Linked DNA regions of Bombyx mori. The protein of the gene in region 2 purifies or fractionates together with the protein of the main gene of each other region. This does not show direct contact. Links are inferred from orthologs where the notes say so. Each region holds a gene or a part of one and is shown on either strand. Other genes may lie near its edges. The genes, in order: nuclear receptor-binding protein homolog; protein bunched, class 2/F/G isoform.

Region 1 (10,339 bases), on a different chromosome or scaffold from region 2:
AGATGCCAGGAATATAGTTATAATAATGTACCAGTAAAATGTTTTGCCTGCAATCGAAATTCAGTTTAGATTATAATGTTTTTTAATTGCAAATTAAATTTTTATTTATGGTGTAATCATTTGAACACTTGGATAATGTTTGTAGGATAACGACAATGGGAAAATCTTCCACCGAGCGGGTGAAATTGCTCGGTATTCCGACGGTCCCAATGTTATTGTTCAGAACTTGTTTAAACATATATGCAAACTTTTTTGAAAATGTCGTTTGCGAGATTCAGTCGTCTTTCAAATATCTTGTGTTCTATAATAACTACCGCCGCAAAAGCTATATTCGTATTATATAGTTATTATATTTGTCGTTATTTGCGAAATTTTCACTTTTTCATTTCTTAATAATGATTTCTCTGGTTTGCGCCTTTTTTTTATTGCCTAGATGGGCGGTTGAGCTCACAGCCCACCTGGTGTTAAGTGATTACTGGAGCCCATAGACATCTACAACGTAAATGCGCCACCCACCTTGAGATATAAGTTCTAAGGTCTCAGTATAGTTAAAACCGCTGCCCCACCCTTCAAACCGAAACGCATTACTGCTTCACGGCGGAAATAGGGAGGGTTGTGTGGTGGCACCTACCCGTGCGGACTTACAAGAGGTCCTACCACCAGTAAATATGGTCCCTTATGTCTGTTATTAAGATATGTTGGTTGTTAGGCTAATAAATAACACCATTTATAACTATTTGAAGATTAATGTAAATAATTTAAATCAAACTCACTGGCTCGTAACACAAGTTAATAAACTTGGCAAAATATTAGGGTGTTGAAATCAGAACTAAGAAATTTATTAGGGTAGGATGCGGCAATCCAATTAGAGTTTCCATCGTCCGAGTGGCCCTGTTGCGAATCCACTAGCAGCGCTGGTTCGACTCGTGACGACTGACCGTTTCCCGTCGCTCGTTGCTTTATTAGCTGCCGTAAATTTCGTAGGTTTGGCGTGTCTCGTCTTGATGTTCATTAGCGAGGGGTCGACGATTTCATGACATGAGACATGGTTGTTGTCTATTATTATTATTCTCGTCTCTCATGAAACTCGGAATATTGGTTTAGACAATAAGGGCATTCTTTAAACGTATTATCATGACCTTGATTTCGTTCCTGCAATTGTGAGTTCTTAATGTCGTCATAACTCATTAAATATTGTCAACGTATACTTTAATCATGTAATTAAATACAAAAACGCAACCCCGATCTCTATCGACTGCTTCTAACTTCTTCTAATCCCCTATTATCCTTATTATTTTAATATCAAATAACCTCCCCTAATACCTCGACCTCTGCTCTATCTATTTGTGCCAATAATCTTTACCACATGAGTCAACGAAGTATATTATACCCTAGTTTAACTTATCGGATAGTATAAATGCAATAAATTTAGTGTTCTTTATTGTATAAGTAAACATTTTTATTAGTAACACAATTGAATTTGGTCAATTTGACTGGTGTTCTTACATCATATCATTTATGGAAGAAAAACAATAGAATACAAATAAGTTTCAAATAAATAATACATTTGTAAAGTCTTCTAAAGGTATCGGGTGAAATTTTAAGAAATATTATGAGCTTCTAAAAGAGCGACAATAAATGAGGAGAACAATACAGTTCGGTAGAATTCGATGAATGCATTGTTTGCGGTAAACCGATTAGTATCTTTTAAATAGTACGTATTTAAGCTACAAAGCATTATTTTAAATGTATTATTTATTTGAATTTTAACTGTAAACATACATTTAGATACAAAACAATTCGCTTTGAGGAGTCCAACACAAACTAATATTACAGTTTATGAAAGGTTTTTACTGCAGGTTTTTTTTCGCTGTTCAAAAAGCGAGTTAATTTGTCGCGGAACAAATAAATATTTCAACAATTATTACTTGTTCATATTAATATTTCAACAATTATTACTATTCTACTTGTTAAATTTGAATCTCAGAGTATGTTTTCATTGGGTAATCTCTTTTTTTTATTATTATTATTGTATTCCATCTTCGAGCCGATGAATTGCCAATGTTATGTACGCCATTATTGTCACATGCAACAGGCCATAAATTAAATAGTTTAAGTTATTTTCAATGTTAAACGTTTGTGATGTGGCAGTACCTTTTTAAATAAATAAATGAACAACCCTTTATTCATTTATGGGAACGAAGCAATCATATTTTCCTTTCCGCATTCGCTATTTCGATTGCTAATCTCTAACACTTCTCCATTACGTTCGTTGAAAGTCATTGCACTTAATAATATTCGCTTTGTAAACATTAATTTCAATTGTTCGACAGCACCTGTTGCTTTTAAACCAAAACATCGTAACAATAATATACTTGTAGTTTTTCCGTTTATTGCCGACTGAATCATACGTTCGGTCCTATGAAGTCGGTTGTTAACTGGTCTACCTAATTACTCTGAAAGCTATCGACCAAGCTCACGACTTTCGGTATCTAATCTATTATCTTAGGTAAAATAAGAAAGCACAAAATGTAAAAAGCACGGAATGGGATCGAACCTTGTATTTCACTGCCCGAACAAACATCCAGCACAGAATAACTGTTTGCCTTCTGGCTTTACAGTCCCTCTTTCGAAGAATTTCAAGAAACCAACGATGATGAAATAGATGGTAGATTAATATAAACTACACACCTAACCTGCCAGAATGGACAAACCCTATACCTATCAACACCTATGAAATATAATGATTAGTTACAAGAAAATTTCAAACAACATTAACGATTTAATATCAACATGCACTACGCAAACAATGCAACACAATTATTATTGGACCTTGCAACCGGCACTTATCGTCCGTTGCACTCGGCTCTGCATTATAAACGTTTCTCTATCAATTCGAACAATTATAATAATACGTTTCAATTATACAAACGATTGTTTTGGTTACATTCGAATAATAGCTATTGTATACTTCGAATGGAACTACCCTACCCGACTTACTCTAAATCCAATAAGATTTTTATTCAAAGAACGTCTTTCACAGCTCACTACTTCACACCGTAGCTGTACTATTTTACAGCTTTCCACACACTATTTTCTTACGTTTATCTAACTAAGTAGCACACGCTGGTAAAGCAGCCAATGATGTAGTAACGAACGCTTAGTCTAAGATCAAGTTTCTTTAATTATCTTCTTCTTGCCTTTATACCACATTATATGGGGTCGGCGCCGCATGTCCTGTTATCATGCTGCATAGGCACCTGACACCTTACGACCGGCTGCCTTCAATGCAACGTGTCTTTGCAAGGTCCTAGAGGGACCTTTTCTGTTTCTTCTTCTGGTGTTTCTTTTACTTCATCCGTTTATGGTTCTATAACTTGCATCTTATTATTATAAATTGTTACACTAAAATTTAGATTTTCAAATACCAAAACGATGGTCGTCAGTAGTAGTCGTGTCCTAAAGAATAAGACGTCCGGTGCATTCGTACCTAGTTCATCCATACTACCTTGCCTAAAAACAGTGCCTTCATCCACGGTGTGTTTTCAGAGAACTTTTCTGCCCCTTCTTATCCTCCTGCTTTGGAATGAACTTCTCTCCTCGGTTTTTCCTGAGCCTTCCTGAATGGGTAGGCAACGCATTGGTTGTGTCCCAAACATTGTTGACGTCCATGTGCCACGGTACCCACTCTCTATCAAGTGGGCCGTATGCTCGTCAGTTTACAAAATTCAATAAGAATATGTCTACGATTCGCAATAACCGCAGATCATAATATCACAAATCACGTTAACAAGTCAAGTTTTCAATGCGTTATCAATTGCGGACGGCGCGGCGTGGAATATTCTCATACATTGCGCAGGAGTTTCAATTGGATGATTGGTCATACAGAAAGGATGACCGGTAATTTGACCATGTATGTACATAATGTAACGTGATTGTTCGCTTTCAACGACGCAATGATTTCGTTTCATTCAATGTTGTATTACAATGTAAGGATGGTATCTTTAGCCGAAGTCAGATCAGGATATCTATCCATCTCCATACATTTAGATTTAGAACCCTAATAATTTTTTCACATACATTCAATTTTTTTTGTAAATCTACCCCATACACTTTTGTGTGTGGCATGTTGACATAGCTGCCCATAGACACGAGAAAGCGGATGCCGCCGTCTACAGACATGCCCTAGTGATTACATGTTTGTGTAATGTAATAACATCTTCAGAAAAAAGTACCTTTTATTATCGCTTCTGTGATTCAGATATACCATTAATTAGAGCGATCATAAGGGACTTCAATATCAATTAATAATGAAATCGAGCTTGCTGCCATTTTTACAGTATCTTAATATAAATTTATTACTATTTCAGGTTGAACAACGCGATGTGCCCGGTATTGACTGCGCCAACCTTGCGATGGACACCGAAGAGGGCGTGGAAGTCGTGTGGAATGAAGTCCAGTTCTCCGAGCGGAAGAACTTCAAAGCTCAGGAAGATAAGATACAGACGGTGTTCGACAACCTGACCAGGCTTGAACACCCTAACATCGTCAAGTTCCATCGATACTGGACTGACACGCATAACGACAAACCCAGGGTATGCATTTCAATTTTACTCGCTATTCTTAATGGACCGTTTCTCAATTATATATTTATGCTACATTGTGATATAATTATAAGGTAATGCCCCCAACGACAGAATGCAGCTTAACACACATTTCTTAAAAGATATGAAGGGACCGTATGAAATACACGAACAGTCGAAACCTTTCGGATTTAGCGAGCTCTAGCAGTCAATTAACAATTTTAGGGTTTGTGTATCTCTACATCGCCTTTTACGATACCCACGGTAAGCTACCACCACAACCACCCCAAAGGCCAATATCCTAGGCCAATGCCAAACAGCTGTAGCAGTATGAAAATATTAAGGGAAGAAATAACATATAGGCAAAAATCGGAAAAGTCGACTAATTGATATCCATTGATTATTTCAGGTAATTTTCATTACTGAGTACATGTCGTGCGGCTCATTGAAGCAGTTTCTGAAGAGAACGAAGCGCAACGTGAAGAGGCTGCCCCTCCAGGCGTGGAAGCGATGGTGCACACAGATACTATCTGCATTAAGGTACAAGTTCGTTTGGGCTTACTTGAAATATCTCGTTTTCATAACTCACGTATTTCATTCGTTGAAATTCGATTTTCAGTTATCTCCACGGCTGTGTTCCGCCGATCGTCCACGGAAACCTGACCTGCGACACCATTTTCATCCAGCATAACGGCCTGGTGAAGATCGGCTCTGTAGCGCCCGACGCAATTCACCACCACGTCAAGACCTGCCGCGAAAATATGAAGAACATGCACTTTATCGCCCCAGAATATGGATGTAAGTACAGCGATAAGCTGCCATTCTAGCACCGAGACTACAAAGTTTCCTTTGCTTTGGTTTTGAGCTTTTTGCTTCTTTCAACTCTGCGGATTTAATCAAACGAGGCAAAACGCAAACACCACAGCAACGGAAACTCTGTGGTCAGATATTCATTTCACGTTTATTTCCCCTTGAATTAGCATCTCAAATGGTGACGCCAGCAATGGATATCTACTCGTTCGGAATGTGCGCTCTGGAAACCGCAGCCCTCGAAATCCAAGGAAATGGAGACTCTGGCAGCCACGTCACGGAGGAACACATCATACGGACGGTCGAATCGTTGGAGGATCCCAGACAGAAGGACTTTATATACAGGTATATTAGCTTCTCTGTGTTCTTGTTCGCAGGTTCCGTGTAAACGGTAAGTCAGGATTCTCTCTGCTCTTCGGTGAACTGATGGCGTGTTCTGGTGTTGATATGTCTGGGTCTTGTGTTCGCAGGTGTATAAACCAGCATCCCGAGAAGAGGCCGACGGCGAGAGAGCTGCTCTTCCATCCACTGCTGTTTGAAGTCCATTCCTTAAAACTGCTGGCGGCCCACACGCTGGTTAATACAACCGGTAAGGATTTCTGCTCTGACTGGCGTAGCAAAATCAGAATCGAGATATTTCAATGTTTTTTTTTTTTTCATTTCAGCTAATATCTCCGAAACTATAACTGACGAAGTGACCGGCGGCAGCAGCGGCGAGGCGCTGGCGTGGTGCGTGCGCGGCGGGGAGCGCGTCGAGATCGCGGCCAAGGACCTCCAGCCGCACGCTGAAAAACTAGAGAAATTTGTCGAAGACGTCAAGTAAGTGACTTTAGAAAAATGATTGTGCGAGGTTCGGACGGACGCCAACCGCCACCTCCGCGCCCGTATTTATACTTTCAATTTGTGAACTCAAACTTTCTTTTTTCAACTCAAACGATATTTTTGCGTTTCTTTAGCTGTGTGATTTTTTTAATTTGTTTTGTTTGACTCTCAGTGCAAGTAAAATAATTGCTTTAGTTAGAACATGAATGTTTCTAAAGTAGACTAACAGAAATGGCACTAGTAAAACAGAGCATGAGTCGATCGTCCGGTCCCCAGGTACGGCATCTACCCGCTGACGGCGTACGGGTCGGGGGCGGGGGGCCGCGCCTCGTCCCCCGAGCGCGCCCCCGCCCCCGCCGCCTCGCCCCCCCCGCGCGACACCGAGTCCCGCCGCGTCGTGCACATGATGTGCAACGTGGCGCCGCCGCCGCGACACAGCGACGCGCCCGACCACGACCTGCTGGTACGTACGCAGCGTCGGGACTGTCCAGTCTACACATGAGCCACTTGCTTTGTAATCACCGCCGCTCAGTATGCGACTTCACTAAACGCACAGTACGCGGCCCGTCCGTTGCAGATGACCATCATCCTGCGCATGGACGACAAGATGAACCGGCAGCTGACGTGCGCCGTGTCGCGCCGGGACTCCGCGTCGCACCTCGCGCGCGAGCTGGTGCAGCTCGGCTTCATCCACGAGGTCAGCCCGCCTCCCTCGGCGCCAGTCGGTAGGCACATGCGCTCGGTGACTCACTGTTGAACTCTGCACAGGCGGACCGCGACAAGATCTGCCGGATCATGGAGGAGTCCCTCCGCGCCAGTTTCCCCCCGGCGGCGGAGCCCCCCGTGGCGGCCCCCCCGGCGGCGGCGGCCCGCGCGCCTCAGCACGTGGCCAGCTAGTGCGGCGCCCCCCCGCCCGCGCGTCCCCCCCTCGCCTCGCGCGCAGCTCCGCGCGGCGGTCGGTCGTCGGAGGTGTGTTTTGTTTATTGCAAAAATCTCTTACGATTTTTACTGGCTCTTTGTAATGTAAATCTAGAGTTCGCAGCGTAGCCTCGGGTATCTGTAGTGTACTTTATGTATGTATCTAAAATCGTATGTAAATTTTTGTATCAAACACGGTTTGTAAATTAGTGTATGAAACCAAATTCGATAAATAATGTGATGTTGAGCTATCAGCGAGCGAGCCGCGCCCGTGGACAGCTGCTGTTGTCTCTCGGCTCAGTGCAGCACCTCCAACTCAAACTATACCCTAAATTACCCGTCCACTAAAATTTTCAGTTTCGTTTTATTACTTTATATGTGTGCGCTGAATATTTTCCAATATTGTCCTTTTTAAGTTGAATTATGTAACATAAATATGTAACGCGTGTGTGCTCACGAGCGCTCACGGTTTTCCATCTACAAGCAATGAAAACAAAACGCTGCAACAAGGTTGTGTGTAACGAGCAAAATAAAGAATTAAGAAAATTTCAGCAAAATTACCACTTGCAAAGAGCCCACTTGGCCGCATCACGCGTGAACATCCGTGATCATCCGTGACCATTCGTGAGCATACTTGAACAAACAGGCGCAAGTATGATGCGTGCTCTACTCGATATCCAAACGTCTTATCGATTTTAGAACATCTAGTTGTTTATGTCGTTATGTGTAATGATAGACGGCTACGGCTGCGGTGAGCCGGCGCGGTCCTGCGCGCACTGCGGACTGCGCGAGGCACAGCTCGGCCTCGCGATCGAACCAGCGGGTCTAGCAGCCGGATTAGAAACAAATCAATTAAATAAATTGAGCGCTATTATCAAAAATGTATTTTAAAATGTTAGCAAAGTAATCAAGTCAGCCTCGGGTCGGGGACTCGACCGGCGGAGGTTCGGTATTAGACGAGTATTTGTCCGATTTTTGTTTAGATTCATGTGAATACCGATGTACATGAAAATAAGCCTGCACTGATTAATAAATTTTATGAAATGAAAACTAAAACGTTATGTGTTGTAAAGAACCTTTCCTTATTTCAAATTGATGGACCTCTCGTGGTTTGCTCAGGCCCCCGCGCCGGTCCCCTCGTCGGCCCCCTCCGCCGGAATAATCAAATTGCTAGTCGAGTGTGAATCTAAAAACCGGACTGACCGAATCGTTAAGGAAAAAAATAGTTGAATATTGAAAATTATTTAATCGACAATGATTCGGCGAAGGTTTATAGTTGTTAGTGTGTACATCGAGAATGCTTTAGTATAGAAACTTTTGTATGAATGTGTAAATGTTACAAAAATGATATTTAATTAATATAATAATATATAAATAAATGTGAAACTTTAAAAAAAAACATTAATCGTAATCTGTATAGTGAGGCTTCCTTTTAGAGCTTTATGGACGTGGTATACGGGAAAATGAACATACTCACTAAGTGTTTAAGGTCGAAATTTATTTGTTTAGCGTTGGTTTTTTAAATGTGCAATAGTTCTCAAACTTCCTCTTTAAATCGGCGCTCACGCACTTGTTGGATACGCCTAGAGTCGTGGTCAATTCTGTGATCGCGAAAACTACTTGAATACGTATTCTCTTGAAGGAAGCATTAGAGTGTGTGTGGAACGATCGTCTCGAGTTTGAAATCTATTGTACTTTTAAGATTCAAAATTATTTTTTTGTAAATTTTTGTACATTTTACAAGTCGGTCAATGTGAGTGCAGTAGGGCACGTAGGCTGCGCCGACGCAGAATTAGTTTATGAACAAGTCAATTTCAATAGAATAATGCCTTTTTTAAATAAAATACTTATTTACAACTGCATTTAAACGATTTAATTGTCGCGATTCCGATCGTCGTGCGTTGCTCGCACGCGGACACGTTTAATGACAGTTATCAAACTTGAGGTTTAATGACAGCTGTCAAACTTGACGTCACTGCGAAGTGTAGCCCGACCGGACCTCGTTGGTGAGTGGCTTCTGCGACCCTCGCAGCAGAGGGTGGACCCCATCACCCTGTTTATTTTCAACAAAAACAGGTTATGGTGTGGTTCTGTGGTAAAGTGCAAGAAGTGGATCGGGCAGCGCCCCCAGTGGCCCACGGACAGCGGTCAGGCGGACACCACTCGCGACGACATTTTGTGCTTTTGTTTTCTTAAGGAAGGCACCTTGTTCCTATTTTTTATTTCGGTGCTGATTGTGAAATATCTTTTTTTTGTTTTTTCTTTGATAGTTGCAATTACACGTTTTAAAATAAATCTCTTGCAAAAAACAGTAACAAAAAATAACGCAGATCTTTATCCAATGTTCGTGTGTTTCGTTGAATGCTAGTGGTGCCAAACTTACAAGGTGCCAATAAAATGTTACGGAATTCTATCACATTACACGCTTCACGATATCAACTGTACACTGTATTTTAGTACCAAAAATAATAAATTGTTTCTTGTCCCTTCCATCTCTACACCGCAGCAACAATAAAGCTGAATATTATCCGAAAAAACAGAATTGTTGGCAAACATTTTGTTATTTGTTCTTATTCGTTGCGTATAGACTCGAACTGCATCTAAAAATATGTACAATTACTTTTCCTCATTTTCTGCTCATTTATTTTTGGTACCTACTTAAAACGAGCGATGTATAGTTAGGGAAGTAACAAAACGTTCGCGTTCTCTTCATAATTTCAAATTGTAAGCTTTTCACGTTTGAAGTCGTGGACACAAATACGTACGTCGTCCGGCGACCTGCGAACTGATTCTTATACTTCATTTACTAGTTTCTAAACCTGCCAACTTCCAGCACTTCCTGCCCGTCGCGTAGATCAGGAGTCGTTACTGAAATTTATGAAAATTGCATTGAATATATATTTTTAAGTACGTTGCTGACCGGCCGACGCACGGCCCTCACACAGACAGCTCGCGTCACGCCGTCGGCCGCTAGTGACGGGCCGCGTCACGCCGTCGGCCGGTAGTGACGGGCCGCGTCATGCTGTCGGCCGGTAGTGACGGGCCGCGTCATGCCGTCGGCCGGTGTAGCGGCACGGCGGTGACTCCGCAGGAGCACGGAGAGCGCGTTTATATGAACTAGAAGCGGTCTTCCATTTCATATAAAACAAGATCTCCCGCGCGGCCGCCGCTGTGTCTGTGCCTGTGTACCGACTTGCTTTTTTTAT
Region 2 (10,439 bases):
TTTAATCCGTTACCGTAGAGATGTGAGGCGCGTGAGTCACCAACATACCGGCCAGCACCATGCACTCAGCATGCGTACGTGTCAACCGCCTATTTATGTCGCAGGACGAAGCACAAATAAACAGCATCAAAGGGACGTCGGATTCCGGCCGGCGGCGAAGCAGCGACCAACGAAAGCAAATCAAACAAACACCATTGTCTCTACTCGGAGTTATATTCGCAAATAGATTCCAGATTCGCTTAACAAAACCTATCCTTTCAAGTTACAAGGAATTTCACAGAAATTCTTCGAGTTTGATTTAGCGATCATGATACTGTTTTGGAAGACAATAAAAACTCATTTCAAGAACTCCATGCTTAGGGAATATTTAAACTAGTTGCACATACTACATTTTTGTGTACAAAAAAAAATCATTGTTATTTAATTTGTAAACTTTTTTAAAAATGTTGTCTAATAAATAAATAAACACATAATTATAGTTGCTACCCCTTGAGGGCCTAAACGTTGAGCCATTACAGTAATTAAGTTTAACATTAGAATGTGTGGGGTTATTTTAGTTTACAGTAATTACTGTAGATTTTCTTAGAAAGTTCAAGGTCTAGTGATTACCATACCCCATAAATATTAATATGTGAATGCAGCCAAATACCTTAAGAAACATGGTCTAAGAATCAGTTTTGTTTAGGTTTTAATTTAATTATCTTTAGATATAAAGGAGTGTGCTCCGAGTTATTATTTAAGGTGATCCCATCATCGCACAATCTGCCACCAGAGCAGAGTCTATACTACTACAACATTCCTCTATAGTATAGTATGTTCCATTATATTTTTAAGCCACACATCCAATTCTGGAATGAGAACTCCTCTTTATGGTATTTCTTGAGTGTCCTGTTGTGTCTTTGATACAAACATTTGTTTTGAAAATTTAGGTCATAGGCTGTGTGTCACATCTTCATATCTGTAATCAGTATTGCAGGGATCCTATTTCATTAGTTTGGAACACTTCAAAACTCAAGCCAAAAGTTAGCCAGGTTTGGTCCGAGTTGGTTATCAATATCATAACAAAATATGATAGCTTTATTTAACTTTTTCTCTACAGAAAATACTTGATTATCTTATAGTAGTGTATTTTGGTAAAATTAATAACAAAACTTGTTAAGACTATTTTCAAGGTAGGATATTCTCCAGCATAGTGGGGTCTGGAAAAATTAAAAAGCGACAGGAACAAGAATACATAGGAGACCATTAATAACAAATATCTATTAAACTTATTCCAATAAAGTCATGAGTCTGGTTCTTGTAATACAGGAAGGTCACTGACCACAGACAACCTTCAATAAATTATTCAAGATTTCTTTAGCCACCTACCCCCTACCAGAGGAAAATCTTTAAGCTAAGAGATGATGTGATTATTTTTTCCTTGCACTTAAAATTATGGTTTGTATAGTGGTCTTTACATTTGGTCTTCATCTTAAACAGTTACAACTTGAATGACCTTATTTATCTCTAATCTGTACAGGTAACTTGTATCTCTACAAGCCCATATTATGCATTTTAAAAACTACCCAAGTAGTTCAAATTTATTTTTAGATATACCCGTTTATTTTTCAGAATATTTTACTATATTCTAATAAATTTAAACACACTTCAGAAAGTACAAGAAAAACTAAAGACAACACAATTTTATTTTTCCCGTCGAACCATTTACGCTGAGGGCCTCTGATTTCTTTAAATACCACAAACTTATAATTCTATTTGGAATTGAGTTTGAAAATAAAAATTCGCATTATTGTTTATATATGAATAGTTTCTATAAACATAATCTTTTAAATTGACATACCTTTCATCCTCTGTAGGTGGTGCATTCTGGGTTTCCTCTTTACCATCGCCTATATCTCCAGGTTGCATCGCCTCAGCAGAAACATCAGGAGCACCACTTTCACATGCATTCACATTCACATTGCTTACCACCGCACCACTGATCGCATGAGACACTACCGCACTCACAGGGCTGCCAAAGCCCTGACTGTCATGTCCTGGTTGTGTGTTCGTCACATATGCAGTCGAGTTTACTGGTAATGACACTACCGGCGAGTTGGTTCCTGATACAGTTGCCTCTACAGGAGCTACATTGCTTTGAGACATGACTGGCACAACACCTCCGTAACCCAGACCCATGCTTGTCTGCGATGGCACCACATTTGGATGCACTCCGCTGCCCATTCCCACAGGCATGGTAGGCTGCATTGACATTGACATGTTCTGATGTGCCATTGTCACTGACTGATTCGGTACATACTGAACTGCCCCCATCTGACCTTGGCCACCTACTTGTTGTGGTAACATATTCTGTTGGGCCATATGTTGTCCAACAGGTAATTGCTGTCCGACATTCGTAGTTTGCATGAATATAGGATCTGTGGCGGGTATCTGCATACTGGGCTGATTCCCGTCCAGAGTCATCTGCATATTCTGGGGTGGGGCAGACATCATCTGCAAGTTTCCTTGAGGAACATTTCCTTGTTGTGGGGCCATTGGGTGAACATTAGTGGTGGGTTGTTGTCCAGCAAGGCTTTGGAGATTCGCAGGCAAAGTTGTACCTTGGGGTTGAGAAGCCATAGGCTGGAGGTTTGTAGGAAGTGTTGCACCTTGCTGAGAAGTAACAATAGTTGAGAGCACCTCTTGTGGTAAAGTCTGGCCTTGTTGGCTCATTTGCGATTGTTGAGTATGATACTGAGGTACACTGTGTTGTACCATTTGTGGCTGAGATGAAGGCATATTAGGATTGATCATAGACTGTGCAGTGGATTGTTGATTTACAGCTTGGTTATATTGCTGCTGGACAGTTGGCATGCCTTGTTGACTCATCTGAGGATGCATTCCAGGAACAACAGTTTGCTGCTGTTGTGAAGACAGTTGATGCATCTGTGTTTGCATTTGTGGTATTTGCTGGTTAGTATTAGTTAATTGAGTTGGCATTTGCATCTGCTGTATGTGGTTTGGTATTTGTTGACTTTGTAAAGCTTGGATTTGTGCCTGACTTGGCAAATGCTGCAACTGTGCTTGCTGAGTGCCCATAGACTGTTGGCTTTGCAAATGGTGACTCTGACCCATGTTGGTAATCTGGGTTTGTTGCATATGTAATTGTGGATTTGGTTGGCCTTGCATTTGTTGCATTTGCATTTGCTGCATCTGAGGTTGCTGAGTAGGAACTTGTGGCATTTGTCCTTGGTTCGTCATAGCCTGCATTTGTGGCATTTGTTGTTGCATCTGCATGTTAGGAATCTGTGCTTGTGGGATATGCTGACCCATTTGCTGCATTTGTTGATTTGGCATTTGCTGCATCTGTTGTGGCATTTGTTGATGCATAGGTATTTGTTGCATAGTTATGCCCTGTGTCTGAGCAATGACTTGCTGCAACTGATGTGGTGGGAAATTTTGTGTGATTTGTTGGACTTGCTGTTGTTGGTTTTGCTGTGGATGCCCCTGCGCTGCATTCTGCATTGTTATGTGAGTCATGCTTTGTGGATGCTGTTGACCTACTTGTTGACTCCCTTGCATATTTTGATTCGATATCTGTTGTGGCATTTCTAATGGTGGAGACTGAACAGTAATCGGCTGTGACACGGGCATTTGTTGTTGTACTACATTTATTGGTTGAGTTAGTGACTGTCCCGGAGAGGCCATGGGGAACTGTTTTTGAAGAGCTTGCTCTAATTGCTGAACTGTAGGAGCATTTCCTTGGAGATCTGACATATTAGGGCATTTATTTGATAGATCATTAGGCACTTCATCATGCTGACTATCATTTATCACCACACCACTATCGGGAGCTTGCAATGTATTGGTTTCAGTTACATCTTGATTGTTATTTAATGTGATGGGTGCATTTTGCTGGGATGTACTATGATCAAGATAGTCCATGCATATCCATCGACCTCTTCTAAACGGCTCGGTACTTTCAATTTTAACAACTTTGAAACGTTCATTTCTGACATGTTCTTGAATTTCTTTCATACCTTCTTGAGGTTTAGCATTTCCTATGAGATTAATAATGCTACCAGCACTTGCGTTAGTGACACTGACGTGCATATCATTCGCTTCTGTGTTATTACTATTTGGCACTGAACTTCCTATCTGATTGTTGGCGTTGTCCTGGCCGACTATCGCGAGTCCGTATTGAGAGCTGGTCGGTATAACAGGTGCGCAGCCTAGAGATGTGCTGGACGCGTTGTAGAACACGTCGTCTTTAGAAAATGTATCTTCCGAGAAACTTGGTGTTTCATTCTCTATATCAGTCACCCGTGATATGTCGTCGGTGTGAGATTCATCTAGATCATCAGCGGAGTCTTCGCCTGCATCTGTGCTCACTCGGGAGCCGAGCGTCACACTGGTGATCTGAAACGAAGATATTTTCCTTGGGTTATGGGCGGCTTGCAGACTTGTGGGGTGAGTCACTCCCTTCTCCGACTCGTTCAGCCGAAGAGATTCACTCGTTGTACGATGTATGACGTTGTTATACTTGTTTTTTTCACTAGTTTTATGTGACTTTTGAATCAGATTGTCAGCCATTATGCCGTCCGAACCGAATGACTATCTAAAGAAAATTTCACTGTCTATTGGCTTCAGAGACATTTGATTTACTTTACAATCACATCAATATATGTGGTATAAAATCATTGTACACTCACAATTTCACAAACACAGTAATTTAACTATGTAGGTCTTCAAAACTCATTAGTAAACACATACAGTTGCGAACATCTTTCAGACGGCAGCAACATGGCGGCCATTTATGCGCAATGCACTATGGTTGACAATTTGCAGTCGACTATAGACAAGATAGAGTAACTGACAAAAGCTTACTAAAAATAACACTAGATGGAGACAAAATACAAATGTCTGCTAGAAGGCGCTTACTGGAAAATAAAATTTTCTTAGTTTTTTTTATTAACAACTTTAAAAAGTAGTTACATTAAATAGTCACTTTAAAAGAGTTACTTAATATACTTTAAAAAAATGCTACAAATCATCAATAATTTGATTACTACCTAGTGTGATTTGTTTCTAATCGTATAATTTAGACATTTTATTAATCGCGTATGGACCTTAAAGCAAAGGTATGTTCCACCTCAGGTGCAGCTTAAAGCATAATTAAGCACTCAAATATATTAAGTGTATAATCTATGATTAAGCAAAAATAAAATTACAAATCTTCTTAAGACTGCATAAGTGTACCTATTCGACACAAGATGTCGCGCAACTACAACAAATTAATTAAATTGTGTCTTTGATGCTAAAAAAATGTAATAATAATAATAACTACCGAATATTTTGTTAATATATTTTGGCTTCAAGGAAATAACTATAAATCAATACAATATTTTTTCGATTTAATGTGTGGAAAAGTTTCTTTCGTTTTTGTTTTCAGGTTGAGTATTTAATAATGGATACTTGTTCTAATAAAAATAATAGTGAAACTGTTTTTTTACAACGAGTAATCCATTTCAATTGGGACGCAATCGAAAGTCAAGTCCTTGCCATCGTAACAAATTCGTATCCAGAAATCGGTACCATACATATTGTGTGGAGAATCGCGTTAGGTAAGCGTTTTTATTTTTTTTATTGCCTAGATGTGTGGACGAGCTCACAGCCCACCTGGTGTTAAGTGGTTACTGGAACCCATAGACATCTACAACGTAAATGCGCCAAACTTACTTTACTGGTGGTAGGACCTCTTGTGAGTCCGTGCGGGTAGATACCACCACCCCGGGTGGTGGTCTCAAGGTGGGTGGCGCATTTGCATTGTAGATGTCTATGGGCTCCAGTAACCACTTAACACCAGGTGGGCTGTGAGCTCGTGCACCCATCTAAGCAATAAAAAAAAAACACATCTTGAGATAGAAGTTCTAAGGTCTCGAGTATAGTTACATCGGCTGCCCCACCCTTCAAACCGAAACGCATTACTGCTTCACGGCAGAAATAGGCGGGGCGGTGGTACCTACCCGTGCGGACTCACAAAAGGTCCTACCACCAGTAAAAACAGGTGTACCCCACATTTCTCCTTGGATAATGACGCTAGAGAAAATATTTTCTACCATATTACCTGTTTCATATGCGGTTGTTCCGCTTTTGTTATAATGTGAAAATCAGTCCCAATATTAACGTGGTTATAGCTTAAAAGATTACGGTCGGCGTACTCTTGTTTCTAGTAAAGCGATAATACTGGGGTTCAATTACCGCAGGCAGGTGCCAATTTCTTATATACGTGTTCACGAACTACTTACACGATGATGGTACGTCGTGTACTAATAATCAAACCCGCAAAAGCTATGCGTAATTACTGTTGGTGAGCCAATAAGGATATATCTGCATCCCTACGTGCCCTCGTATAGGAAGCAATCTTTTGTTGTGCAGTATGAAGAGTAGCAGAGCCGCTGTGTCAACGTAATAGTTACCTGCTTTGAATCATATGGGACGTGAAGTAACCTGCTTATATATATATGTCTTATCTACTTATTTCTAGATTACTACATTAGAAGGAATCTGTCACAAAATATATTTTTTATTGTGGACGGGTTCACGGCCCATCTGATGTTAAGTGGTTACCGGAGCCCATAGACATCTACAACGTAAATGCCGCCACCTACCTTGAGATAAGAGTTCTAAGGCCAATCGTGAACATTTGGTACGTATTTTATTGGAACATTTGGTACCTGCCTGCGGGATTCGAACACCGGTGCATCGCAAGATACGAATGAACCGTCTTATCCTTTAGGCTACGGCGACTTCAGAATTACAAAAAACACTTTAATGAGTTTACATGTTACACTGTATTATATTTATACAGAATAGTGCAAACGTTAAGAAAATATGACTAAACTTACATTAACGCAGAGTTGTTGCGATTATCCGCACCTTCGAATAAAACTAAAGGCGCAGATCATGAAGCGCCCAGGCCGACCCCAAACTATTACCGGCAAGGTCTTCGGATGGTCAGCCGATTTACTCAACATCCCCACCAATCGCCGTGACACTTCTTAAACGAAGGTAATTTGCTATTATTTGTAAATTGGCTTACAGAGCGACGTCCGCCGCGAACCGTCCGCGCCACAGTCGTTCTAGAGCACGGGACCCCCCTGGCTCCTCGTGGATTCCGATCGCTCGATAGCTAGCTCTTTTCACTGAGAAATCGGACTTAAGTAAACAATCGTCACGTCGCACCACCGACGGTCGCAGCCAACGATCCCGGCCGCAGTCGATAAGATACAGCCCGAGTACTAACATACGCGTCTTGAAAATGTGAATGTGAGTGCTTCGGATATGGCCAAGTCGATCGAAGACAAGAAAACTAGTGAAGATAATACCAACATGGACGGGTACAGCGACGAGGAACTCGGCCGCATCGGGAGGTTCATGGTCTGGATGCGCATCAATCCGAACTTAATTATGTTAAAAGTGACTCTTTTTGTGATGTACGGAGCTACTGCTTCTCTTCTACCTTATTTAACGATTCACATGCAGAGTATAGGTTTGACTGTTCCTGAAATATCTTTTGTTTATCTAGCTTTACCGTTTACGACATTTCTTAGTCCTCCGATAACTGGTGAGTTCCGGTCTAGTATTGAAAAAAAAAACTCGATGCTAATTTCAAAATTTAAATTAATTTGATATCGATATTATTCTAGGATTTTTGGTGGATCGGTTTGGGGAGTATAAGCCTGTTGTGATAACGGCTCTTATTTTGAACGCCGCATTCCATCATTCTTTACTTCTGATACCTCACCAGGAGACGCCTGGTGTTATGCCATCGGCATACGTAATGAGACACCCGATCACGAACAGTGTAGAGGTATTAATTTAAATTTGATTACTAATAAACGATAAACAAAAGTTAAACTGGCTTCGTACGTATGTATGTACCGTAGAATTTGAGCAAATCGACGTCATCCGGTTTTTGAGCGAATTAACTGGCAGTGTCTTGTGATCCGCTGTATTTGAATTAGTTAAGGGAATTAAGCGAAATTTATGCACGCTGGACTTTACCCTTGATTGTTGTTATCGTCCATCCGTTTATTTTGATCCTTAATGGCTGTGACCTGAACTCAAACAATCATGTCTGCAGTTCGTTGATGGAAATAAATTACTTCTCGAACACCCCTCCCAAGACATCGTTATTTATATCTAGGGCTTAAACGTTTATTGCTAGCACGTATAACACAAGGTTATGTGCGCATGCACTCAACAATGTATTAACAATCAAATTGAAACACGCTTATAGAGAGTTTATAAGTAATTTTGATCGTAAATCTTAATGCTAATTTAAGATCTGGTGGAGCCCTTGTCCGAGCAGAGAGTGTCCTGATGAAGATGAAACCGTTGATTTTGTACTGGACCGTTGCGTAGATCACTGTCAATTGTTTAAGCCTCCAGAGAGTCCTTTCACGAAACCTTCGGGAGACGATGAAAACGATGACCTTGACTTTCATATCAGCCACAAGATCCAACCACCGAACTTATCCAACAGCAGGTAATGTGAGACGTGCAATCTTTCGTATGATTAAAAATACGAAAATAAAGTGGCGTTTAATCATAATGAATGTGTTAAATTACATTTTCTTTGTTACGCCTTTCAAAACAATGATAAGACAAAAATCTTATAATACTAAACAAACTTAAATCACAATAAGAGTATATAAGCCTTCCGAGCTCTTTATTTAAAATTTACATCGTAAAATCATTTTCCTTAGTATATCAACAAAATACTACTACTCTAAGAACTCGTAACTAAAACTAGCTACGACGTTGTATAGATACAAGATATAAAGAATTTAAATCAATTGTCACCAAAAACATGACATCGTATAGTACTTTTTTTAAACAATCCTATAACACTTGCGACAAAAGGGACATGTAGGATCAATAAATAGTTTAAAAAAAACATATTTTTGTAAATAAATTTTAACAAAAACGAATCGTAGAAGTCTCAGTAGAAGTGTCCAGACAGATTTGTTAATGAAATCAACTAATTCAGATTCTGCTGGTTCTTGTATCGTGGACAACGCCCGTGGAGTTCGTCCATCCGTTTACGGTATAAAAAAAAACGTCTTTTTTGGGTGTCCTTATCAAAGAATAAAATACTATCTTGCGGATGTAGAATGTTGAAACTTTTTACTAAATATAGTAATAAATAGCTACCTACCTACTGTAACAGTCCTTTGTAAACAGTCACTAAATATCAATACTATATCACTGTTTACAAACTATATCCTATCTCCTTACACTGTCTTTTATGAAGAGTAATCTAAAGTCAACTTTTCAACGTTTAGCGTTCTTGCTGAGATACTTTTACTTTAGTGTAAATCATATTTTTCGTTGCAGCCTTTTGAATTTGACTGATAGCGATGAAGATTACAATGATGCTGCATTCTTCTTGATAGAAGTACACGATGATTTAGGTGAACCAAAAGAGCAGCTAGGGATCGAAATGGAAAGAGTGAGTACAAAATAATAATAGCCTTTATTCAAACGCAATAGTATATTTACAATAACAAATTTAGGTTAACGACTCTGTTGAGTAGATGATATCGGCAACTTCGTCTGTTTGCCCAACATTGGCAAAGGCCTCCTCCATTTCCTTCCAACCTCCTCGGTTTAGAGCAGGGGTTCCCAAACTTATTTTGTCCACTGCCCACTTTGAGAATAAATTATTTTTTAGCGCCCCTATTTTATCACCTACTAAAAGACCACTATAGCGAGAGCTCAGTCGGTATCTAAGAGTCCTCCTAGATAAAATTCCAAATCGCCTCCCAAGCTTTTACACAGTGCCCCAATTTTTTTCTGGGTCTCTTACTGCCCCCTTTAGGCCTGCAGCGCCCACAAGGGGGCGTTATCGCCCACTTTGAGAAAGGCTGGCTTAGAGCTTTCCTTGTCCTGCTAATTTTCCTGCTATCGTCTTTATTTCATCTTCCCATCTCCGAATCTGTCTGTTGGAAAAGTGAGTATATAATCAATGTTAAATAGACGTACACACATAATATTATTACCATCAATTTAACTGCATCGATTTCTTCTAGGACGAGGATGATCAAGTAACGGATTTTCGATCGAGATTTGGCGAGAAGCTTCTGATAACTCAAGGCGTGAATATAACTGCGCTCGACAAGGAAGACCTCAGATGTGGAGGTCTTGTCATGTTACACAACATGACGAAGCTTTCACAGCAAAGGCTGGAGATACTGTCTGCAGATTGCATGGTCCAAAAATGTGATTTTAGGTACAATTCTTTTATAACATTGTATTATTAATTCTAGTAACCTTAATTTCATTGTTAAGTCGTTGTGGCTTACAGAGTATTGCGCTCTGTGAACTTGTATCGAGCAATGCGACTGTGCTGGTGCTCATATCCCGCAGGTACTAATATTATATGTATCAAATGA

What was found.
Region 1: the proteins of protein bunched, class 2/F/G isoform (region 2) and nuclear receptor-binding protein homolog purify together in Homo sapiens (affinity purification with mass spectrometry; 6 studies listed by BioGRID and IntAct, with this or other methods). This does not show direct contact. The link is inferred for Bombyx mori from reciprocal best matches to the Homo sapiens genes TSC22D1 and NRBP1.

Annotation. Positions count from the first base shown.
Region 1 is NC_085116.1:670,533-680,871, forward strand, and holds part of nuclear receptor-binding protein homolog, read left to right. Parts: intron 1-4,370; coding exon 4,371-4,595; intron 4,596-4,992; coding exon 4,993-5,123; intron 5,124-5,202; coding exon 5,203-5,381; intron 5,382-5,563; coding exon 5,564-5,738; intron 5,739-5,863; coding exon 5,864-5,982; intron 5,983-6,058; coding exon 6,059-6,212; intron 6,213-6,491; coding exon 6,492-6,678; intron 6,679-6,792; coding exon 6,793-6,912; intron 6,913-6,983; coding exon 6,984-7,112; 3' UTR 7,113-10,339. UniProt on the Homo sapiens protein: Required for embryonic development. Plays a role in intestinal epithelial cell fate and proliferation, thereby involved in the architectural development of the intestine potentially via the regulation of Wnt-responsive genes.
Region 2 is NC_085111.1:3,743,385-3,753,823, forward strand, and holds the start of protein bunched, class 2/F/G isoform, read right to left. Parts: upstream 4,830-10,439; 5' UTR 4,573-4,829; coding exon 1,841-4,572; intron 1-1,840. Other genes in the region: uncharacterized protein LOC101742662, read left to right, coding at 7,324-7,606, 7,689-7,852, 8,328-8,530, 9,382-9,496, 10,077-10,276. UniProt on the Homo sapiens protein: Transcriptional repressor. Acts on the C-type natriuretic peptide (CNP) promoter. Acts to promote CASP3-mediated apoptosis.